2 linked regions of the Diceros bicornis minor genome follow. The protein of the gene in region 1 interacts with the protein of each later gene in a pairwise test. Links are inferred from orthologs where the notes say so. Each region holds a gene or a part of one and is shown on either strand. Other genes may lie near its edges.

The links. The genes of interacting proteins can lie anywhere in the genome.
Region 2: the proteins of BANP (region 1) and NRIP2 interact in binary tests that used the Homo sapiens proteins (3 or more experiments, as listed by UniProt). The two-hybrid records come from large-scale screens. The link is inferred for Diceros bicornis minor from reciprocal best matches to the Homo sapiens genes BANP and NRIP2.

What each region holds. Positions count from the first base shown.
Region 1 is NC_080771.1:36,394,107-36,402,080, reverse strand, and holds the start of BANP (protein BANP), read right to left. Parts: upstream 3,011-7,974; 5' UTR 2,934-3,010; intron 2,097-2,933; exon of another isoform or gene 1,234-2,096; intron 1-1,233. UniProt on the Homo sapiens protein: Controls V(D)J recombination during T-cell development by repressing T-cell receptor (TCR) beta enhancer function. Binds to scaffold/matrix attachment region beta (S/MARbeta), an ATC-rich DNA sequence located upstream of the TCR beta enhancer.
Region 2 is NC_080756.1:58,536,877-58,544,352, reverse strand, and holds the start of NRIP2 (nuclear receptor-interacting protein 2), read right to left. Parts: upstream 3,018-7,476; 5' UTR 3,003-3,017; coding exon 2,811-3,002; intron 1-2,810. UniProt on the Homo sapiens protein: Down-regulates transcriptional activation by nuclear receptors such as NR1F2.

The sequences.
Region 1 (7,974 bases):
TGCGATCTGGCATTTGAGGACCCAGCACAGTAGTAAGTTCCCAATCACCCAAAGGGAAACCCACGTATTTTCAAGACGAGCCCCACAGACTCGGAGCTTTCTGCCCACTTCCTCTTGCCTTAGACAATAATTACCAATATTTGAGGAGCACTTGCTATATGAAACAAGAAGCCACCAAGTTAAAAAAGAAAACAACAGTGACACTAGAGGAAACAAGAAATCAGAGAACAAAAAGAGAACTAAAACCCTTATTTGTATCCTCAGAGTCAAGGAGACAACGAATGTATTCATAAAACAATAAGTTTCTATGAAAAAAAACAGAAAAAATAAGCTCTTGGACATTAAAATTTCGATTGTGGAAATAAAAACTTAAAATAAGATTGGAAGATAAACTGAAGCCCTTTCCCAGAAATGAGAATAAAATGACACAGGAAGAAGACAAAGAGATTCAGGGGGTCAATCCAAGATGACCATCATCAAACAGGAACCCAAATTGAGAAGAGTAAAAGCAAAGTGGAAGAAATTCTCAAATAAATGATACAAGAGAATTTCCCAGAGTCAAAGAGCATTCGGAATGGGATTCCACATTTTTTGACACTCTGGGAATGTCCTAAAACCAAAGAGGATCCTTAAGAGTTACCCAAAAGGAATACATCTACTTGGCAGAAGGTTCTCATTGAAATGATGAAGGAAGCCAAGATTAAAACATGGAGTCCTGAACAAACCCAGATGTATAAGAAAAGAAAATATCAGGATAATACCTGTGCTGGCCTAAAAATCAATCCAGACTGGAAAAAGAGAACAGAGGGCTGGGGAGGAGGGGGAAAGTTGGAGAGATGTGACACTATCCTTGAGAATTTAAAACAATATAAGCAGTCAATGGGAGCAGAAAACGCAAAGAAAAAGAAAGGCCATTACAAACGACAGCAAACACATCAAGCTGTGTGAGGGAAATGCATTACTTGGCTGTGAAGCAAACAATATCTGCAGTTACAAACCATCTGAGTTAACTGAACATAGTGAATTCAGGGTATAGAGGAGTGAGATCCGACAGGAGAGCTAAAGCATCCTTTCGTAACAAAAAGTCAACAATGTGTAAAATCAACAAAACACCAGCTTATTGTTGAGAGCTTTGGAGACCTTCCTGAAGAAACAACAAAAACACAAGTCTTTGGGGAGTGGGACTGAAAGGCGGCACAGGGGACTGCTGCTTTCGCCGTATGGACACCTCACCTGGACGCTACGTGACAACACGAAGCGCACGTCTGCACTGTTAAGCGCACAGCCTCCAGACAGCTCACCGCGGCTCCGTGGCCTCGGCGGCCCCTAGCCTCCCGGCCTCAGCGCCTCCTCTGTCAGACGGAGCGGTCTCGGCCTCCCCGCGTCGTCGTGTCGGGAGTCACCGGAAAGGGTCAGCAGTCCCGGCCACAGCACACGACCCAGAAATGGCAGCTGACTTTTCAAAATTAAAGCCCACGATGACACAGTCCAACATCCCAAGAACATATTCTTGTTCTCATTGCAAGACAGAGGGGAAAGGAGCTGAACATACAGAACGAACTGTGCGGGCAATTCTGGCGTTTCCCCACCGGACGTTTGTCCAGGGCTGGCCCACAAGCCGAACGTCAACGACATCACCTGCGCTCTGAGGGGCGCCTCCCTCCCGCACGTCCTGAGGACCACGCAACTGCCCCGTCAGCCTCCGTCTCCCAAACCTCCGTGCCCCTGCCCCCTCAGAAGGACGGTCCGCTCTCGTCACCAGTCACCTCGGGGCTGCGCAGCAGCGCCGTCGGGCGGACGGGCGACTCCCCGCGGAGATCACCTGTCCCCGTCGTCGGACTGTGAGCGGGCCTCGGGGCGGGCTCCCTACGCTGGAGGCCCGGGTCCGCGTTCTCAGGGGAGGTGACTCCTCCGCCCCGCCCCCGGCCCCCAGGGAGACCCGGCCCCCCGAGGCGGCGTCCTCAGTGCGCACAGCGGGGCACGGGCTGTGAGGACAGCACCTCCGTGCAAAAAGCTAAGGCCACAACTCGAAAAGATGCAATCACAGACACGGCAAAAAATACTGGGGGGGGGCGGGGAGGGGGGCGACAGCCGCCTCCACCGAGGCCCCCAGCCGCCCCCTCCCGGCCTGCCCCCGTTCCCTCTCCCTCGTGAACCCCGCCATCAGAGGCTCCGCGTCTGCGTCCCGACGCCCGGGCTCCGTTTCACGGGCCCCGCGGGCGCTCGATCGGAAGTCCGCCTGACGGGGCGCGACACCGCGGGGCGTTCTGTGCCTTCTCGGTTTTTCCACTTTCCCAAACAGGTGACAACCCGGCCGGCACGTCCGGCAGCCGCGAGCGTCCGTCCGGGCGCGGGGGCCGGCGGGGCCGCTCCCACGGGGGGGACGCAGGGCCGGGCCGCCCCCGCCCGTCCACGGCCCGCACGGCAGTGGGGGGAGATGCACAGAAGCGGATACCACCCTCCTCGGGGAACGCGAGTGCGCAGGGCCCGGGACCGAGGCGGTCAAGCCCCCGGCCGGGCGGACGGGGCCGGCGGGACGGCGGGGAACTGACGGGACCAGGGCTCTGAGGGCGGACGGCAGGACCCGGGCAGGAGGGCCCGGAGGGCTAACAGGTCCGAGGGCGCTGAGGGGGCGGCGGGGACGGGGTCAGGTCCGGAGGAGCTGAGGAGGCGGCGGGGCTGAGGGGGCGAGGCCGGGGCCCGAGGGCGCGGAGACGGCTGAGGGGGCCGAGCGGGCGGCGGGCCGGGGGCCTGAGGAGGCTGAAGGGGCGGCGGGCCGTCCGCGGCCCGGACAGGGTGTCCCGGGCGGGGGCGGCGGGCGCGGCGGCCGGAGGAGGGCGCAGGGTGGAGGGAGGAGGGGAGATCTCGCTCTCGCTCTCGCCCCGCGGGAAGGGGGAGGTGGAGACGCGACCGACTGCGGGAGCTGCAATTACCGTGTGGGCTGCGGAATTCTCGTGGTGTTTGTCGGGGAGATGCGATAATGGCGTCCGTCCTCGCGAGAGAAGCCGCGGGTCTGCGCAGGCGCCAGGAGTCCCTCCCCGCGGCCCTCCGCCCTGCACCGTCTGCGCAGGCTCCCTGGGCGGGGCGCTCCGAGAGCGGGGGCGGGGAAGGGGGCGGGGCTTGCCGCTCGTGGCCTCCCGAGGTCGCTGTCGCCTGCGCCGACGACCGCAGAGCATGCGCACGCGTCCTTCTTCCGTGCCACAGTTTGGGCCCTGCAGAGTTCTTTCTTCCCCATCGTGCGCTCGGTCTCCTCGCTAGGCCGTGAGAAGTCGCGTCGGTGGACCGTTGGAAGAATTTGCATTTTCTTTGAGGCTGAATGAATAGGAATTAGCTCCCCCCCCATGACTACATATCCCGGGGGGCCCTGCGCGAACCGCGAGCAGTGCATCCTGGGGCTTGTAGTCCGTGCCTCTGCGCCATGCTTTGCCGGTACTTGTAGTCTGTCCGCACTCCGGTCGCGTGTCCCGCGCGCGCCCCTTGGGCCACTGGGACTTGTAGTTCAGATGCTCGAGGCAGCTGCGCCCGGCCCGTGCTCCGGTTCCGGCGGGGTTCCCCCAAATACTGGTGGTGTTCAAGGGTCCCCAGCGTCTGTCCAGACAGTCGCGAGTGCACGCGCGTGGAAACAATATATATAAATTATATGCCTATGCATTTTTATGTAATTAATATATTATGTATAATATGTATATATGTAATGTATAAGCTATATTACATATGAATATAAATATAGTATGAATGTGGTTATATTATATTTATATAGCGTAAATGCGCCTTTGTGGGTACTGGTAGGGAAAAATCCCTATTCCCCTACCTGGAAATAGACAATTCCCAGAAACTTTCCTGCTTCTCTATCTCTGTGTGCTGGCGTTACCATTGCTTTTCATTTTTCTTCTTTATACGTACTCACCTCTATTTTCCGAGTTATTTACAATGATCATCCAAACACAAAACGAGGGAGCTGTTTTCATTTGAAAAATAAAACGCTTTTCCCAGAGTCTCCTGCCCCCTTCCCTTTCCCACTAATGAAAACGTGATTCAGGGCAGTAACCAGCTGTGCGGCCTGGGGCAACCTTGTTGAGTTAGCATGTCCTCCAGGATTTAACACCAGGGGTTCTGCTGAGGCCGGGCGCTGGATTCCTTTGCAGGAAAAGTGCCTTAAAGAAATTCCAAAGAACCACAGAAAGTCAGTGCTGGAAAAGATGCTGATATTGAAATGACATCTGTCCTGTTTAGAGTTGAGGAACAGTCTCAGAGAGATTGCAAAAATTGTTCAGCAAGGACACACAGAAGTGGGGTTTGGAATCAGAAACACCTTGGTCTAGAGTCTGCTCACAGTGGGGAAGAGAATTGAAAAGCTAACCACAAAAATCCTGAGAGAGGACCAGGGGAGAAAAGTTCTGGAGAGCCGTGCTTTCTAGCCCCACCTCTGCCTCAATCACAGAGGAATCTAAACTCATAACTATGTAAGAATTGTTAACATAAATACGTGAATATCCAACTAGAAAGCCGATAAATGTAGGGTGATATTTTTCACATTATTTCAAAATATCACAAAGTCCTCGTCTGAGCTCTCTTTCAGGTATGGGTTTGCCTGCTCCTTCCTGCCCAGCAGGGAAATTGGCTCCAACGCACAGCTCCTGGGATATTGGGAGGATTCATTGAAGCAGAGTTTGTAAAGGGTTTAGCAGAGGGTCTGACTCAGGAAATGATCACGTTACCATGTGTTGAGTTACCACACCTCAAGCCAGGCACATCTTATTATGATCCCTATTCTTTGTGAACAACATGAAGTTCAGAGAAGTTAAGCTACACACCCAGGGTCACACAGCTATGGCTGTGTTAGAGCTTTGAGGAGGAAGGTTGTGAGATGTCACAGGAAAGGTAGTTAGGATGTGGGCTATGCAGGTCCTTATTGGCCAAGGGACAAATTTTGTCTTGATCCTCAAGTAATGGAAAGGCTTTACAAGGTTTGGGGCAAGGGTGTATATGATCAGATTTGCATATTCAAAAGTCACTCAGGCTGGAGTGCTGGAAAATGAATTGAGGGTGGGAGGAGGGGTACTGATTTGGAGGGAGCATTTGAGGAGGCTATGGCAGGGGTCCAGGCAAGAGATGATGGAGGCCTGGACTAGGGTGGTCACAATGGAGACTGAGATGCAGAGAAGTGGACAGAATCAAGAGATTCCAAGGGGTGAAATCAATAGGACCTGCCCCTGAATCTGATACTGAGGAGTAAGGGAGTAAGGGAGAGGGGGCATCAGGGATGCAGCCTGGGTCTGCAGACATGTAAAACTGGAGAGACCGAAGCACCATTCCCTGAGATGGGGAACTCTGGGCACCACTGGCCACTGGCCACCACCCATGGCTGTGGAGACTGCCCTGAACAATGCCCTGTTGTAGCTGGTCCACCATGGGGGCCTCTTCTGTAATTCCTCCCCCACCCCAGGACACCTCTTTCTGCTTCACACAGAGGCACTTATGGGATAAGGTTTGGGGGTGAACTGGAGTCTTGGGGATAGAGCTCATAGGATAATTCAGGGGAAATGGGAAGAAGCAGCACCCAGCACCCACCAGAGCCCCATCTGCCCCTGCCATGGATTCCACCCAGACCTGAGACAGGCCATGGCCACATGTTCTGGACAGTCAAGAGATTTAAGGACCAGGAAGTGATGTCAGCAACATGGCGGAATAGGAGGTCCCCCATCATATCCCACCTCAGCAACAATAATTTGGTAGCCATCCACAGACAGAAGACCCTTTGAGAGACCTTTGGGATCCAGGTAGAGACTGTGAAACATTGGTGGAGCCCAAGACCAAGCAGGGTCATTGTGAGTCAGCCTGCACCCAGGTGTCTGACTTGCTGACCTTGGTCTCAGTCACAGACCCAGAATCAGGCCCATCCTCCCATGGACTTGACTGCAGCTCCATTTGGCCTTTGTCCTGCCACCAGCACCACCTGCCAAGGGACCTGGCAGGAATCAGGCCTGCCTATGCCTTTGGTAACAGGCCTGCTGAATTTGGTTCTGGCTGTGGGCCCTGAAGCGGCCCTGGGACCGGCTCTAGCCTCTCTTAGCCATGGTCCAGGAGCAGTCCTGCCCACTCAGGGACCCAGAGGAGACACACCTGTCTGTAATATGCTACCCCACATTAACAAAATGAAGGATAGAAATCATATGGTCATCTTAATAGATGAAGGAAAAGCATTTGACAAAACTCAACATCCTACATGATAAAAACCCTCAACAAACAGGGTATAGGAGAAACAAACCTCAATGTAATAAAGGCCATATATGACAAGCCCAGAGCTAACAACACACTCAACAGTGAAAGGTTGAAAGCTTTTCCTCCAAGCTCAGGAACAAGACAAAATGCCCACTCTCACCACTTCTATTCAACATAGGACTGGAAGCCCTAGCCAGAGCACTGAGGCAAGAAAAAGAAAAGGCACCTAAATCAGAAAGGAAGAAGTTAAATTGTCTCTATTTGCAGATGACATGATCTTGTACATAGAAAACCCTAAAGACTCCACCAAAAAACCGTTAGAACTAATAAATGAATTCAGTAAAGTTGCAGGATGCAAAATCAGCACACAGAAATCAGTTGTGTTTCTATGCACTAACAACAAACTGTCTGACAAAGAAATGAAGATGACAACCCCATTCACAACAGCATCAAAAGAATAAAATACTTAAGAATAAACTTTACGAAGGAGGTAAAAGACCTGTACACTGAAAATTGTAAGACACTGATGAAAGAAACTGAAGACACAAATAAATGGAAAGAGGTTCCGTGCTCATGGATTGGAAGAATTAATATTGTTAAAATGTCCATACTACTCAAAGCCATCTACAGACTCAATGCAATCCTTATCAAAATTCCAATGTCGTTTTCCACAGAAATAGAAAAACCAATCCTAAAATTTGTGTGAAACCACAAAAGACCCCAAATAGCCAAAGCAATCCTGAGAAAGAACAAAGCTGGAGGCATCATGATCCCTGACTTCAAGCTATATTACAAAGCTATAGTAATCAAAACAGTATGGTGTTGGCATAAAAATAGACATATAGATCAATGGAGCAGAATACAGAGCCCAGAAATAAACCCACACATATTTGGTCATCTAATCTTTGACAAGGGCACCAAGAATATACAATGAGGAAAGGACAGTCTCTTCAGTAAATGGTGGTGTTGTTGAATGAATATTCACATGCAAAAGAAGGAAATTTGACCCCTATCTTACACCATACATAAAATTAACTCAAAATGGATGAAATACTTAAATATAAGACCTGAAACCATAAAACTCCTAGAAAAAAACAGAGGGAAAAAGCTCCTTGATATTGGTCTTGGCAATGATTTTTTGGATATGACACCAAAATCACAGGCAACAAAATAAAAAAAAAAAAAGAAAAGTGGGACTACATCATGCTAAAAAGTTTGGTGCAGCAAAATGAAAAGGCAACCTAAAGAATGGGAGAAAATATTTGCAAACCATCTATCTGATAATCAGTTAATATCCAAAATATATAAAGAACTCATACAACTCAATAGCTAAAAAACAACCTGATTTTAAAGTGGGCAGAGGACCTGAATAGACATTTTTCCAAAGAAGACATACAGGTACATGAAAAGATGCTCAACATCACCAATCATCAGGGAACTGCAAATCAAAACCACAATAAGATATCACCTCCCACCTGTTAGAATGGCTATTATCAGAAAGACAAGAGATAACAAGTGTTGGTGAGGATGTGGAGAAAAGGGAACCCTTGTGCACTGTTGGTGGGAGTGCCATTATGGAAAACAGTAGGGAGGTTCCTCAAAAAGTTCAAAATAGAATTACCATATGATCCAGCAATCTCGCTTCCAGGTATTTATCCAAAGGAAAGAAATCAGTATCTCGAAGAGATGTCTACAACCCCATGTTCATTGCAGTATTATTCACAGTAGCTAAGATATGGAAACAACCTAACT
Region 2 (7,476 bases), on another chromosome or scaffold:
CTGCTTACATGGTAGAGCCCAAGCTTTTTTTTTTTTTTTTTTTTGTGAGAAAGATCAGCCCTGAGCTAACATCCATGCCACTCCTCTTTTTTTGCTGAGGAAGACTGGCCCTGAGCTAACATCTATTGCCAATCCTCCTCCTCCTTTTTTCCTTTTTCTCCCCAAAGCCCCAGTAGATAGTTGTATGTCATAGTTGCACATCCTTCTAGTTGCTGCACGTGGGACGCGACCTCAGCATGGCTGGATAAGCGGTGCATCTGTGTGCGCCCAGGATCTGAACCCTGGGCCACCAGTAGCGGAGCGCGCGCACTTAACTGCTAAGCCACGGGGCCGGCCCCAACCCAAGCTTTTTAAAGTGACAGCCCAGATGACCTGGCTACTGCCTGAGTCTTCAGCCTCATCTCCCCATCTCCGAATGTCCGCCCCAGTGGGCCTGCTTAGACTGCTTGTACCGGGCTGTTTTTCACCTCCATGCCTTTGCTGCTGCTTGCTCCTCTTCCTGAAGCTCCTCTTTCTCACTCTTCTCTAGGTCAGGCTGGATGACTAGCTCAATACACTTTGTTCAGGAACTACTCTATTCGGGAGAGAAATTTTTATCTTAAGTGTGGGATTCTATGTGCATTCCATAATTAGAGCAGGGTTTACCTCCTCCAGGAAGCCCTCTCTGACCTCTTAAGTACTCTTCCCTCCACACACAGGCTGGGGCGGCATCCCATCTCTTAGCTCCCTTTGTCATGCTTCTCACAGATGTTGTTTGTGGATTTCACTCCCCCAATAGCCTGGAGAGCCCTTGGGGTCAGGTGTGTACCTCACTCATCTTTATATCTCAAGGCTTAGCTCAGAATATAGTAAGCACTCAATGCTTGCTGAAGAATGACTATTCCTCCAGGCTCTGCACATGCTTCTCCACCTGCCCTCTCTCCTTGGGAGCCTGGGATTGTTTTTCTACCCTTGGCTTAATGCGGCCCTCGGGGCTGCTCCCACCACAAGGCTGCCAGCAGGAGACAGCTCTGGGAAAAGGGCAGTGAGCTCTGGGACTGGCCGGAAACAGGGCTCTGCAGTTCCCAGCTCCCCTCCCACCTTTCCCACGGTGGATGCAGGCTTCAGGCTCCCTACCGCTGTGTGGTTTGCTCCAGAACTATCCCAGGGAAGGAGGCAATGAGGTCCTTCCAGCTGTTGTGTCTTCACTCCTAAAGCCACACAAGGGAACTGCTTGAGATCAATTCGGGAGGTCCTGAGGCAGAAGGGAGAGGTGAAAAGCCCAGGACTTTCTCATCAGAAAGCTGGACCTGCCACTCTGGGATGGCAGTTTTAATAGAGCATCTTCTCCAGGGCCAGATCTATGTAGGATGGTCCCCAAAGGGGAGAAGCTATAAGGCCCTAGCCACTGGGAGCCAAAGAAACTGCTTCCCTGTTCCATCCCTGTTTCTCAGCTGTGCTTGCTGTTTTTGCCAGGAAGAACAAGCCCCTGGAGGCTCTCTGAATTGAAATCTCAGTCTGATCACTTTTCCTCTTTGGGGACTGCTGAGATGGAGTTAGGGGATTGCCTGGCCTCTGGGCTGGGTTCCTGGAGGGGAACATTTGGCTGCGAGGAATGTGGAAAGGTAGGACTAGGTCAGGAAAGGCAGTGAGGGGCCGCGTTTGCCTCCAGATTCCCAGGAAGAAGGGGCTGCAGGAATGGCTTTGTGCCTCTCAGGTTGCAAGGTACCCTCCTCTCAGACCTGGCTAGGAGATGGAGAGAGAACGGAGTGCTCCCTTCTACAGAAGCCCTCCTTTCTTCTCTGAGCCAGAGCCAGACATGATTCCATGTTCTCTGGACCCTACAGATCTTACTTGCTCTCTCAGGCTGACTGGAACAATAGCTGGAGGAATGATAATAGTTAGCTTTTAGGTGGTGCCTTCTGTTATCAGGCGCTGTTCTAACTTCTTTATAGGTATCAGCTCATATAACTCTCACAACAACCCTATGAGGTAGATACTGTTAATTTTATCCTCATTTAACAGATGGAGAAACTACAACACAGAGACGTAAAGTAACTTGCCCAAGTTAGTGACTGGCGGAGCCAGGATCTGAACCCAGGCTGGGTGACTCCAAAGCTCACACTTGAACCACTGTCTCAGAGAGATGCATACATGCAGTTGACCCCTGATCCACTCACCTCCTTGTTGTCATTCCCCCAACCCCATTCCCTCTGGAGGGCAAAGCTGCTGCAAGGGAATGGAGGGAAGGAGCCTGGAAGGGCCATTGCGCCTAGGAGGGAGCAAGGAGGCACCCAAGGAGGGCATATGAATTCCTGATGGCTCTGGCAAGGACAGAGGCCTTGAATGCATTCATTCTGAAGGGAAGAGGCAAATGAATGGTCAGGCCTGGTATGAAGGGGTCTGTGGTTTAGGGAGAGGAGGGAAATCACAACCCTAAACTGACTAGTCCTCCAGGCCCTTGCAGCCATAAATGACTGCTCCAGAAGTTTCTCGTGTCCCTGTAAGTCTCTACTCCTAAACAGTACAGCTCCTCACCACCCCCAAGGTGAGCCTTGGACTGTTTGGGGGAAGCCGAGCGATCAGAATAGGGTCCCTCCGAGCCACCAAGCCATGGGAACATCCCCAGCCAAGAGCCTGAGAATGGTCAAGGCAAAGCCCCTCGAGTTAGTGGGACTCTCTCTCCCCCATTCTCAACAAGGGAGGGGGAGTCTGAAGGTTTAGGGTCTACACTTTAGGGTCCTCCCCCCCTGCTCCTCAGGATGTGGGGAAGCAGAGAGAAAGGGCCAGGGGACTTCCATGGGGGTGGGGAGGGGAGAGGGCTGCCTCACCAAGTCCTTGGAGGTGCCGAGTCTCTTAAGGCTGTCCAGGGGGAGCAGGTCGGCTGAGTCCTTGTGCAGGAACTGGGTGGCCTGTTTGAGCCGGCGCTGCTGGCTCAGGTGGGCTCGGTCCCGAAGCTGTCCCTCCTGTCCCCTCCTACTGGTGTCTCCCTCCTCTCTCCCGGCCTCCTGCTTGGTGCTCATGGCCCCTGTGGGGCTTGATGAGCTTGTTGAGCAGAGTGGGGGCTTCTGCGTGGTCCTGCCCTCCGTCCTCTCTGCCTCCTCTGTCCCCACAGCTTCCCGCCTGTCTCCCTTCCCGGGCTGCAGCTCTCCTGACAGGAGGGTCTCAGCGGGAGGCAAAGAGGAAATAAATAAATAATGTGCAGGAGCAGCCGCGTCAGACACGAATTTCCAGAGATTGCAGTAGAGGGAGTGAGGCTCCAGCTGGAAAAACCCAGCATTAGAAGAGAGGGAGGGTTGGCAGGGCCTGCAGCTGGCAGGCTCTGCAACGTCTCCACTTCTGGGGTCCTGGTTGGAGTGGGTGGTGGAAGGGGTGTGTGTATGTCTGTGTGAGTGCGCGAGGGCGTGTAACTGTGTTGTAAACTGTCAGAGTGTCCGTGCCAGGTTGTGTGAAAGGCGGTGTGTGTCAGCGTGGGGGTGTCAGCCTGTGCACTTGGTGTGCGTGTGGGATGCAGGCTTGTGCACTCATGTGCGTGTGCCCTCCCGGTCTCCCCACGGCTTCACCTGGGGTTCTTTGCAGCCCAGACGGTGGGGAGCAGCCAGTACCTAGGTTCTGAACGGAGATGCGCAGCGTCCGAACGTCCTTCCCTCCCCTCCTCACCCACAGGAGAGGCTTCACCGTGCTGTGTCTCACCCTTAGTGGGCAGACGTCAGAGTCCTTAGCTCATTTACTCTGGGTTCTGGGTCCAGAGGGTGGCAAGGACAGCTCCGAATCTCCTCACAAGTAGGGCCCCAGCTTCTCCCTCTCCTTTGTGTAAGACTCCTTAGTCCTGGCTCTTTAAAAAAAAGTCATAATTCAAACATGCAGGAAATTATAAAAAATAACCAGTACCCTTTACTTGCCACCTTGTTTAAAAAAATAAACTGTTACAAATATAGTTGAAACTCCCTGTGTACCTCTCCTTCTCCCTGGATAACATCGCCTCCTGAATTTGGTGTTTGTCATCCCCATCCTTCCCCTTATACTCATTATGCATATATATGTGTATGTATGTTATGCATATATGTGTATATGTATCCTAAGCAATATATCATTTAGTTTGACCTGTTGTATACGGATCGTTCTCTACTTACGAGGGGATTACGTCCCAATAAACTCATCATAAGTTGAAAATATCTCAAGTCAAAAATACATTTAATACACTAACCTACTGAACATCATAGCTTACTACCTTAAATGTGCTCAGAACATTTACATTAGCCTAACAGTTGGGCAAAATCATCTAACACAAAGCCCATTTTCTAAATAGAGTGTTGAATATCTTATGAAATTTATTGACTACTGTACTGAAAGTGACAAACAGAGTGGCTCTGTGGGTGCAGGATGGTTGTAGGTGTATCGGTTGTTCACCCTCGTGATCGTGTGGGTAACTGGGCGCTGTGGCTGTTGCCGCTGGCCGGCGTCACAGGAGACTACGTACTGCACATCACTAGCCCAGGAAAAGATCAAAATTCAAAATTCGAAGTACAGTTTCTACTGAATGCGTATCGCTATCACAACATCATAAAGTTGAAAAACGTTAAGTCGAACCATCCTAAATCAGGAACTGTCTGTGTATTCTTCTGCAACTTTCTCTTTTTTGCTCCATATTTTATTAGTGAGATTCATCCATGAGATATGTATAGCTCTAGTTAATTCACTTTAACTGCTGTATAGTATTCCACTATATGAATACATCACATTTAGGAAATTTAGGTTATTTTTCATTTTTTGTTCTTACAAACAATGCTGCTATGAACATTTTTGCATGTATCTCCTGGGGTACATGTATAAGCATTTCTCTGGAGTATATACCTAGGAATGGAATTTCTGGGGCATCAGATACAAGTCTTTGCTATTTTGGCATAATGCCAGATTGCTATCCTAGGTATTTGTACCAATGTGCACTCCAGTCAGCAGTGTGTGGGGGTCCTCAGGCCCCACTTCCTCGCCAACAGTCGGTATCAGACTTTTTATAGCCCTGGCTCATCTGTTATCAGATTTCTCTCTCTAGCTAGGCCCTGGGCGTACAGTGGTGAACCAGATGAAGACCCTGCTCTCCTGGAATTCACGTTTTAACGAGGAAGGCAGACAATGAACAACTAAATTTATAATGTCAGGTAGTGGTAAGTGCTGAAGAAAAATAAAACAGGGTGTGAAGAGAGAGAGTGATGGGGTGGTGGATGGGGCTGGCTTTTTTAGAGCAGATGACATTGTGCAGAGGTGAGAACAAGGTGAGGGGGAGGGCTGTGCAGATACCTGGAGGAGGGGTGCTGCAAACAGAGAACGCGGAATAGTGCAGGTAAGATGGGCTGGGCTGGGTCAGGGCTTATGTCACCAACCATACCTCAGACAAGGGGTAGGTTTGCACCTCTCCATCCCCTCTGTCTGGCCTGGCTCCTCCTGCGAACAGCCATTCACACCAGCAAGATGATGGACTGGCCAGGGTAAAGAGCATCATCTCCTGCTGGGGAGAGAATAGGGCTACCTCGTCCACCCCAGGATGGAACCCTTTTCCTTGCTCTTCTGGGCAGTGCTCTTCCCACCTGGGTTAACAAGCCACCAAACACTGAATCTGACAGACCTGAGGGAGCCCGGGGTCCCCCTACTGAAAGAGAACAGAGAACACTGCGGAGTGGGTTCTAAGAATTGCCGGAGGGTGATGAGTCTTCGTATTTCTAGCAATGAGAAGGGCTCCAAAAGGTAGGGTTTTCTTGGCCTTCACCCTCATAGGCCCTCAGGTCTTCTAGAGAACTTTCTGCCTTTAGATAAAGCCAGACTACACCTTGTATTTGCCATTGGGTGTCAGACAGTCATTAGTAATTCTAGATATGCTGCCCAGTGCAGTAGCCACTAGCCACATGTGGTTATTGAGCACTTGAGATGGGGCTAGTCTGAACTGAGATATGCTGTAAGCGTAAAATACACACTGGTTTTGAAAACAGTATGAAAAACAATATGAAATATCTCACTGAGTATTTTTACATTGATTACATTATTTTATATTGTTAATATTTTGGATATATTGGGCTAAATAAAATACATTATAAAAATTAACTTCACCTCTTTATTTTTTTAATGTGGCAACTAAAAAATTAAAGTTACATGTGTGGCTCCGTTACATTTCTGTTGGTCTGAATAGATTCACAGCTCGTTTTCTTGAACCTGACGTAATCTGTTCCAGCCTCTCTCTGCTGTATCAGGAAGTTCTTTACATCTAATCTAAATCCCTGTCCTCTTGTCCAGGCTTCAGTAGAGATGGAGACGAACTGGTTCCCACCTTCCTTGTGATAACTTTTCATGCTTTTAAATATCTTCACACTTTTTAACTTGCATTCCTCAAGGCTGCATAGTGTCAGTTCTTATCTCCGATGGTGGGGATGAGGAGGAGGGCTCATGTGGCGCAGCAGAATCCTCCAGGCCAATGCCCTGCCACATAAGGCAATTCCCAGAATAGTCTTCGTAGAATGGGTTATTCAGAGCTAGACAAACAGCTTCCTTGAGCCCGTGGAGGCTTAAGGGCAGCCAGTTCTATTTCAGGCTTTCTCCTCTGGCCCTGTCAGACCTTCTGAAGACAGGAATGAAGCTGTTTTCCAGAATTCTGTCCAGCAAGGGTCCCAGGAGGGCTGGCCAGTGTTGAAATTTATCACCCTACCTCCACCCCAAAAAGGTAGATCTTCCAAAGATGACCAGGCTAGGATTTTTTATATTTGACACTAGGTTGATTTCCTCCTATTTTATGGATGGCAAAACCAAGGCACAGAAAGGTCAAGCATCTGTCTCTATTGATAAAAGCAGACTGAACAAGGGATATTGAACTCAGACAAGCTTGGCCAAGTATTCCAACTCAGTCATTTACTAACTGGGTGGCTTTGGGTAAAGTGCTTAATCTTTTTTTTTTTTTTTGCTGGGAAAGATTTGCTCTGAGCTAACATCAGTTGCTGATCTTCCTCTCTCTCGTTTTTCTTTCCCTCTCCAAAGCCCTAGTACATAGTTGTATATTCTAGTTGTAGGTCCTTCTACTTCTATGTGAGCCACTGCCACAGCATGGCTACTGGCGGATAGAAGTGTGGTTCTGCACCCACGAACCAAACTCGGGCTGCCAAAGCGGAGCACACCAAACTTTAACCACTAGGCCATCAGGGCTGGCTCTGAAATGCTTAATCTTTTGGAACGTACTTCCTCATCTGTAAAATTGAAATGACATGTAATTTGTAGAATTGCTATGAAGTTTAAATGAGAGGCAGAATAGCAAAATGGTTAAGAGCTCTCTATGCCTCAGTTTACTCATCTCCAAAATGGAGATCATAATGGGACCCACCTCATAGTATTGTGAGGATTAAATGGGCTGATTCATGGAAAGCTCTCAAAACATTGCCTAACATATAGTAAGTGCTGAGTAGATGTTTACTGTTGTCTGGGGCTGTACATGCACATACATCTCTGTGTGCTCACACA